Linked DNA regions of Macaca mulatta. The protein of the gene in region 2 purifies or fractionates together with the protein of the main gene of each other region. This does not show direct contact. Links are inferred from orthologs where the notes say so. Each region holds a gene or a part of one and is shown on either strand. Other genes may lie near its edges. The genes, in order: MAPK8 and WDR62.

What was found.
Region 1: the proteins of WDR62 (region 2) and MAPK8 purify together in Homo sapiens (affinity purification with mass spectrometry; 5 studies listed by BioGRID and IntAct, counting the BioPlex papers as one, with this or other methods). This does not show direct contact. The link is inferred for Macaca mulatta from reciprocal best matches to the Homo sapiens genes WDR62 and MAPK8.

What each region holds. Positions count from the first base shown.
Region 1 is NC_133414.1:60,852,856-60,857,139, forward strand, and holds the start of MAPK8 (mitogen-activated protein kinase 8), read right to left. Parts: upstream 2,977-4,284; 5' UTR 2,833-2,976; intron 1,563-2,832; exon of another isoform or gene 1,369-1,562; intron 1-1,368. UniProt on the Homo sapiens protein: Serine/threonine-protein kinase involved in various processes such as cell proliferation, differentiation, migration, transformation and programmed cell death.
Region 2 is NC_133424.1:47,322,388-47,326,198, forward strand, and holds part of WDR62 (WD repeat-containing protein 62), read left to right. Parts: intron 1-2,722; coding exon 2,723-2,780; intron 2,781-3,021; coding exon 3,022-3,192; intron 3,193-3,811. UniProt on the Homo sapiens protein: Required for cerebral cortical development. Plays a role in neuronal proliferation and migration.

The DNA.
Region 1 (4,284 bases), on a different chromosome or scaffold from region 2:
TTAACAACAAATTACTTCAAGTTGTTTCGCTGAACATCTCATCCTCCCAAGGTCACTTCGATAATATCAGGCATGTAGCAAATACTTAAGATTCTAACCACATTAATTTGTGTACAATGTATTCTTGCACTAACTTCCTTTCCAAATGGCATTTCCCCCGATCTAAAGGAGTGTGAAGGATATAGTTTCCTATTCTGCCAGGACAGGACACTTAAAAGGAGCCCTTTTCATACTTATTAAAGGAATATATTTACTAACAGAATCGATGCTATATCTCTTACTTTAAAGCATAATTTGAAGTGAAATTCAGAGTGACTGCTAATGAATATGGTGTTTCTTCTTGGGGTGATGACAATGTTCTGGAATTGGTGATGGTGATCAATGCACAACATTGTGAATATACTAAAAACCACTGAAATATATACACTCTAACAGGTGAATTTCATGTCAATTAAATTTCAATAAAGCTATTTTTAAAAACCAATAATTTGGAAAACAAAATAACACAACTCTGGTTCTTTACATAGGCTGACTGTGAGCTACTGCCAAAGGATTGTCAGTAACCCCTACTAGAAGCTGACATACCTTAACTAGGTAAAGCAATAAAACGTTGGTATCTCAAAGGTTTTCATCCCTCATCTTAAAAAAGTATCATTTTCTTATTTCTTCATTTCCACTTTACACCAAATAATAAGAAGCTCATTAATTAGTTCACTCTTTTCGTATTCTTTCAAATCCAAAACAAACGCTAAACTGTTCAGGGAGTGGAAAAGAGCTTTAACTTGGATAAATGAATTATTTTGAGTTTTAGGATCATATTTTGTACCAATGTGTTAACACAAGTTAGAACTTAAAACCAAACATTTCAAGTAAACATTTCCAAAATATTAGAAATATTTCTAATAAAACATTTATGTGGCTTTGTCCTCAATTTTTCACAAAATGAGTCACCAAAAACCTTTCAAATAATATTCACAAAATTATAAATGCAATCATTTTAGACCCCTACTGAAATACCAGTTTATGTGTGCCTGTGTGTGCATTACGTACATACACACACAGACACACATAAACTAGTACATACACAGAAACACACACCCCACAACCTACTTTAGTTTATTAATCATATTAAAAAAACATTTAGACAAGATTTTATTTTAGGACAGTGAATGACCTACACGTGATTCAAAAGCCCATGTCATCATAACAGATAATGTACATGAACTGATCATTTAGCCATCTGAAGCGACAGTTGCATGAAGCTTCCAAAACTTTATGGAGAACATTACAGTTTTTTTTAAGGCTTGAATTTAAATATTATCAATTACAAAGAGCTTTTCATCAATCCGACTTTTATTGAACACTTACTATATTCCAGGCTAGGTGGTGGAGAAACAGATGCAAGACAGGCCTGCCCTCAAGGAAGTCCCATTTTGATTGCTTGCTTTTGTCAGGCACAGCACTAAACATGTTCACTTAGAGCATCTGACCTCCTAGGTTTAACGTTAACCACAGCAGGGGAATCTGAGGTAACCATTACAAATGACTGTAAGGCTGCAAGACTGGAAAAAATAAAATTTAGAAATAAACAAAAGCTGTTGTATATTTAGACCAAATCTAATTCTACTTCCTAACATTACACTTGAACTTCCAGATATACTGCTTAAAAAATGACCCAGAACATAACCATACCTTCCTTAACAGACATCTCTTATGTAATTCTCTCATTTAAAGGTCCATCTATTATACTTCAGTCAAAGCATCCTCTTCCATGAAAGGATACCTTCCTTTACCTTCAAACCAAACCTCTTCATCTGGGTACGGTACCGAACAGTTGTTGAATGAATGAATGAATGAAAAAACATGTTCTAATTGCCAAAGAGGTATTTGCTGGATGCCTATCTCAAAACACAATGGACTGACGGACCAGAATTCTACTGGACAGATCGCTGAATTTCAGAGGTAAAAACGGTAATCACTGGACAATGCCATGTAGTTAACATGTTATTAAATTCGCAATAAAGACCAGGCGGGGAACTTTCAGAAATAAAAACGGAAAGTGTTCATCAGGGTACTTTAAAATGGACTTGGTTCTACCATCTCTGAATCCGGAACACAAATGTGAGACAAAGAGATGGGAGGGTGGGGTGAAAAAGTCAAAAGGTCACCACCGAGTGACCCTCAAGAGAAATGTGCGCTGACCACCGAAGCTCGGGCCAAGCTGGATGGACACCTCCCACCCGAACCACGGGCCTGGGCTGTGCCTCGCAGCCCAGAGCTGCAGGCCATCCCGGCCCTTTTCAGCGCTGCTGCCTGCCTTCGCCCAGAACCTGAGCACAAAGAAACCACCGAGAAGCAAAATACGGTCCCCATGGGCGCGGGGCAGGCTTGGGGACCCGCTGGTAGAAGCCCTCTTCCCGGCTCCTCGCCGCCCCGGAGGCAGCCAGGGTGCGGCGGGCCGCGGAGACGCCTCTGTCCGACCCTTGCCGAAGTGTTTCAGAACTTGCCACCCACCCCCCCGCTATTTTCTTCTCCCGCCGCGGAGGCAGGACCCGCGCGAAGAGGACGCGAGAGGACAGGCGGGCGGGGCTCGCCGCGGCGGGCGGGCTGGCGGGTAGCAGAGCGCGCCCAGGTCCCGCAGCCCCACGCCCCCTTGGCCGGCCCCCGCCTCTGCGCCGCTATTGTTCCCGCGCCGCCCCCGCCCGCCGCGCGCTCCCGCCCCCACTCCCGGGAGGGGGTTACGGCTGAGGAGAAGGCGGCGGCAGCGGCACAATAACATAAACACGACGGGGCCGCCTGCCGCCCAGGCCCTGCGGCATCCGCCGCACTCACCCGGCAGCGCAGCGAACGGCGACAGGGAAGCCCGCCAGCGGGGACAGGGGCGGTCCGAGCGGTCGCCGCGGCCGTTACCCAGGTCTGCTCGCCGCTCCGCGATCCTAGCCGCGTCGTCCAGCCTCGGCCGCTCCGCTGAGTAACAGGGACGCGGGCCGTCACCGCGCACGCCCGCCCACGTCATCGCGCAGGGCGCCGCCCCCGCGCCTCCCGAGTGGCCTGCGGGGCGGGGCAGCCCCGGGGCCCGGATTGCGGGGGCGGGGCCGCTGGCCGGGGGCGGGGCTACTCCACGGGGCTGAGAGAACTTGCGGAGGTCGCCTGGAGGCGGAGCCGCGGAGAGAGCCTCCGAGGGCAGTGGGTGAGGGGCGTGGCCAGGAGCGGGAGGGGCGGGCCCTGTGGTGGCACGTGGCGGCGCGTGGCCCCAGGGGACTGCATCTGGTTGGCGGCGGTAGCCAGGTCGGAGCTTAAGGCTTCGGGCCTCGTCACCACAGGGTTTGAAGGGCAGGTGAGCTTAGGCCAAACTTGCGCAGCGAACAGACACCCCTTCCTGGTACACACCTGAGTGATGAAGAGCTGGTTACCTTGACCGACAGTACGTTCCATGCTGAGGACACCTGTCCGGATCCCAGCAACCTACAGAGAGATAAGTGTTCTCTTCAGCTGCCCCGGTAAAGCTTCCTCCAGTTTTTCCAAAATCCACTTCCTCCGAGATTCCTTGCAAATCCACCTCTTCCCAGATTCCTTGCATTACCTGGTTTACCTCTGAGGCCCCACAAAACGTGTAAATGTTACAGAAGCGATAAATTGACAAGCCTTTAAATATCCAACAACAGGTGGAAAGGCGTTTAAGTTACCTACATCCATGCAGTAGAATACATTTTAGCAATTTAAACGCCATGTGTTCAAGGAATTCTTAACAACACAGGAAAATGTTAACAATATATCATTAAGAGAAAGAAGCAAGAAACAAGTCTTATATATAGAACGATCCCACTTAGTTACTATATATACACATAGAAAAAACCTGGAAAGAAATACACCAAATTATGTTAGCAATGGTTCGTCATTGGACTATGGAATAAAGGGTGACTTGGTTCTCTTTTATACTTTGGGTATTTTCTCATGTTTTCCAAGAGGAATAGTTATGTTCACAATCGGAAACAAGTAAGTTACTTTAATAAAGAATATATAAATATTTGTTGAATGAATGAATGATTTCAGGTAGACTACTTTCCTATTACATGTGGGGCTGGCCTCTTTCTGGTGATTCTAAAAGCGAACATACAGGTGATTATTCATTCATTCTCTTCCCATTTCCTCTTTTCCTCCCTCTCAACCTTCTTAATTTCCTTCCTTCCATCCTTTATTCCTGCAATAATTATTTATTGCAGGCCCATTCAGTGCCTAGCAGTACAATAGAGTTTACAGATTTAATCACTGTACTATGAAAGT
Region 2 (3,811 bases):
CTCGGCCTCCCAAAGTGCTGAGATTACAGGCATGAGCCACTGCGCCTGGCTGATCTTGACACTTTTGAGGATTGTAGATGAGGTATCTTGGGTTTATTCTATGCTTCCTCAAGGGCAGACTCAGGTTCTGCATCTTTGACAGGAACAGACCAGAAGGGGTGCTGTGTTCTTCCCAGTGCCTCCTCTCAGGAGGTCTCCCGTGACTGGTGGTGTTCACTGGGAGCATTTGGCCAAGGTGTTGCCTTCCAGATTCCTCCACTTCAAAGCCTCTCTCTTCACCTTTGTGATTAGCAAGTATCCTGGGGAAATCTTTTCTGAGACTGTGCAAATATTATCCTGTTCCTCACCAAAGTTTCACTCAACTTATCTTAGACTTTGACACTTTTCAGATGCTCCCCAGGGAATTATAATGTACAGCCAAGACTGAGAACTACTGGCTTAGAGGTCAGGGCTCTGTCCTTTCTGGTTAGTTAACCGTAGCATGGGACTTCCCTGTGTTGCAGTCACCTCATCTGCAAAGTTGGTTCATGAGAGCCCTGACTCCATGAAGCATGTGTGAGGAATCAGTGCAGTGATGGCCACACAGCATTTGCTAGAGGGCCAGGCACAAGGTCGGGGCATGCGACAGGTTAGAGGTGGCTACAGACAACAGAAACCCCTCCACGGCGTAGCTTAAAACCCAAGGGCATGCTCCTCCTGCACATCTTAAGTCCGGAGGTGGGCAGCCCAGGGGCTGTGTCTCTGAACACCAGGGACCCCACTTTTTTTTTCTCTCTTTTTTTGAGATGGAGTCTCGTTCTGTCACCCAGGCTGGAGTGCAGTGGCGCCATCTCAGCTCACTGCAAGCTCCGCCTCCCGGGTTCACGCCATTCTCCCGCCTCAGCCTCCCGAGTAGCTGGGACTACAGGTGCCTGTTACCTCTCCCGGCTAATTTTGTTTTTGTATTTTTAGTAGAGACAGGGTTTCACCATGTTAGCCAGGGTGGTCTTAATCTCCTGACCTCATCATCCACCCGCCTCGGCCTCCCAAAGTGTTGGGATTACAGGCATGAGCCACCGCACCCTGCCCCACTTCTTTTTTTTTTCCAAGACGGAGTCTTGCTGTGTTGCCCAGACTGGAGTGCAGTGGTGCGATCTTGGCTTACTGCAACCTCCGCCTCCCGGGTTCAAACGATTCTTCTGCCTCAGCCTCCCGAGTAGCTGGGATTACAGGCGCCCAACGCCACACCTGGCTATTTTTTGTTTGTTTGTTTGTTTGTTTGTTTTTTGAGATGGAGTCTCGCTGTCTCTCCCAGTGTGGAGTGCAGTGGCGTGATCTCTGCTCACTGCAAGCTCCACTTCCAGGGTTCAGCCATTCTCCTGCCTCAGCCTCCCGAGTAGCTGGGACTGTAGGCACCCACCACCAAGCCCAGCTAATTTTTTTGTACTTTTTAGTAGAGACAGGGTTTCACCGTGTTAGCCAGGATGGTCTCGATCTCCTGAACTTGTGATCTGCCCGCCTTGGCCTCCCAAAGTGCTGGGATCACAGGCCTGAGCCACCATGCCCGGCCTATTTTTTTGTATTTTTAGTAGAGATGGGGTTTCATCATGTTGGCCAGGCTGATCGTGAACTCCTGACCTCAAGTGAACCTCCCACCTCTGTCTCTGAAAGTGCTGGGATTACAGGCATGAGGCACCGCACCCAGCCTCCATTCCTCTCTCCTTCTGTTCCACCCCATTTATTGTGAGGCTTCTGGTCTTGAAGTCACTTTATGGCCCAAGATGGAGTTCTGGCTGTTCTGTGCTTATTTCAGGAGGGGAACTGGTGGGAAGCGGGGCACACATCATGTCAGTTTACTTCTCCTTGGCCAGACTGAGTCATGTAGCTGTACCTGCATAGCTGCAAGCATGAAACTGGGATTATGTCAGTGAGGAAAGAGAGACAAGTGGATATCCAGGACGCAATTTGCCCTGTTTGCTGCTGTAAGGAACCACGGGAAGCCTGGGAAGCAGGTTGACTTGATGAATATTCCATGAAGTTGCCAAAGTCTCACTTAGTGACATTTACTTAGTTATCTGCACGCCAATTTACCATCTCACGTAGGGAGACAATTATTGTTAAGGAACAAAGGTAAAAACAAGATTAAAAGAGAGCGGGGAGAAGAAGGAAACCATACAATCTCAGAATGGTGAATCTTGCTGCCAGAAACCTGTCAGCTAGCCTGTTCATTCAAGTCCTTGTGCAGGCTAGCTAGGAGTATCAGAAACATTTTGGCTGTTTATGGATTTTCCAGAATATCTTGAGTATTTATCAGTGGAGCACATGCTGCAGGCTACCTTGATGTGATGTCTGCCAGGATCCTCCCATCAGCACCACCCCTTTAGTTAGGCCAGGCCTGTACCATTTCCTGCATCTCTATTTCTCAGTGTTATAGGGTGGGTGGGGTCTTAGGGTAGCCACTGCGGCAGAGAGAGAAGAAAGCAGGGTCCCCATACAATGTCTGCCCCATTTGGGTTTGGTATCTCAGGGTCGAAGGGGCTTTGCATTTACCCCCATTTCTCTGTGTGCTGTGCTGGGCACGCCAGCAGTACTGGCTCTGTGGGAGCTGCTTGAGCTCACCTCCCCTGGCCTCTTCTGAGGCTTGGGAGGCAGGAGAGGGCAGAGTCCTATCAGAGCCGCCAGGATGGGGTCTGACTGGCCACCCTTAGCGGAACCAGTGATCAGCTCTTTTCTTTATCCCCAGGAAGTCTCTGAGTGCTCTGGCCTTCTCCCCTGATGGGAAGTACATAGTGACAGGGGAGGTGAGTCATGATCACGATTGAGTGGGAGTGGGGGTTGGGGGGCCTCAGGAGCCATTCCTTATGCTCCCAGCAGGCCTGGGAGTCCCTGGAATAGCTCCTTCCTGGGCCAGAACAGCCCCGTAGCAGATGGGGGAGATGGCTTTTGGGCACACCCTATGGCAATGCAATCTTCAGCCTTGACAACCCCTCTAGCCCTGCCTGGTACAGAGCCCAGCAGCAGTAATGACCCCACCTTCCCTAGAATGGGCATAGGCCTGCTGTGCGCATCTGGGATGTGGAGGAGAAGAATCAGGTGGCGGAGATGCTAGGCCACAAGTATGGTGTGGCCTGTGTGGCCTTCTCACCCAATATGAAGCACATCGTGTCCATGGGCTACCAACATGACATGGTGCTCAACGTCTGGGACTGGAAGGTAAGACCAGCGGGCCTGTGGCAGGCAGCCAGCTGCCAGAGCATCCTGTGTCTTGGGCACTGGGAGAGCTACATGAGAGGACGCAGTAAAGTGCTCACTCACCCAACACATGACAGCTATTGAGCACCTGCGACATGCTGATCCCTTACTGTAAGGCACAAGATAGGTGCCCAGCTGGAAGAATTATAAATATTTTTATAATGACCAGCTGTGACCTTAGCCAAGTGACTTAACATCTCTGTGAGTCTGTTTCCTCCTCTGTTAGATGGATATAGTGCTACTTATCTTGTTGAGTTGTAAGACTTTAATGAGTTGATAAGCACTGGAAGACTGGGCTTTGGAACAGCTGTGGAGCTGGCAGAAGTGGGTACCAAGTCCTGGCTCTGCCCATAACCCACTATGTGACCTTGAGCACATGACATCTTCCCCTCTGAGCCTAGGAGGGTTGGGGAGAGGCGCCTCCCTCATGGGGCTATTGAGGGAATTTCATGGGTTATCCTGTGAAGGGCTCAGGGCAGGGCCCAGAGCAGGAGCACCATCCGTGACAGCCATAGGTTGTGTTGTCCTTACATCCCAGCCATGACTGTCCCCAATACCATGTGTGGGCTGCAGAGCTTAG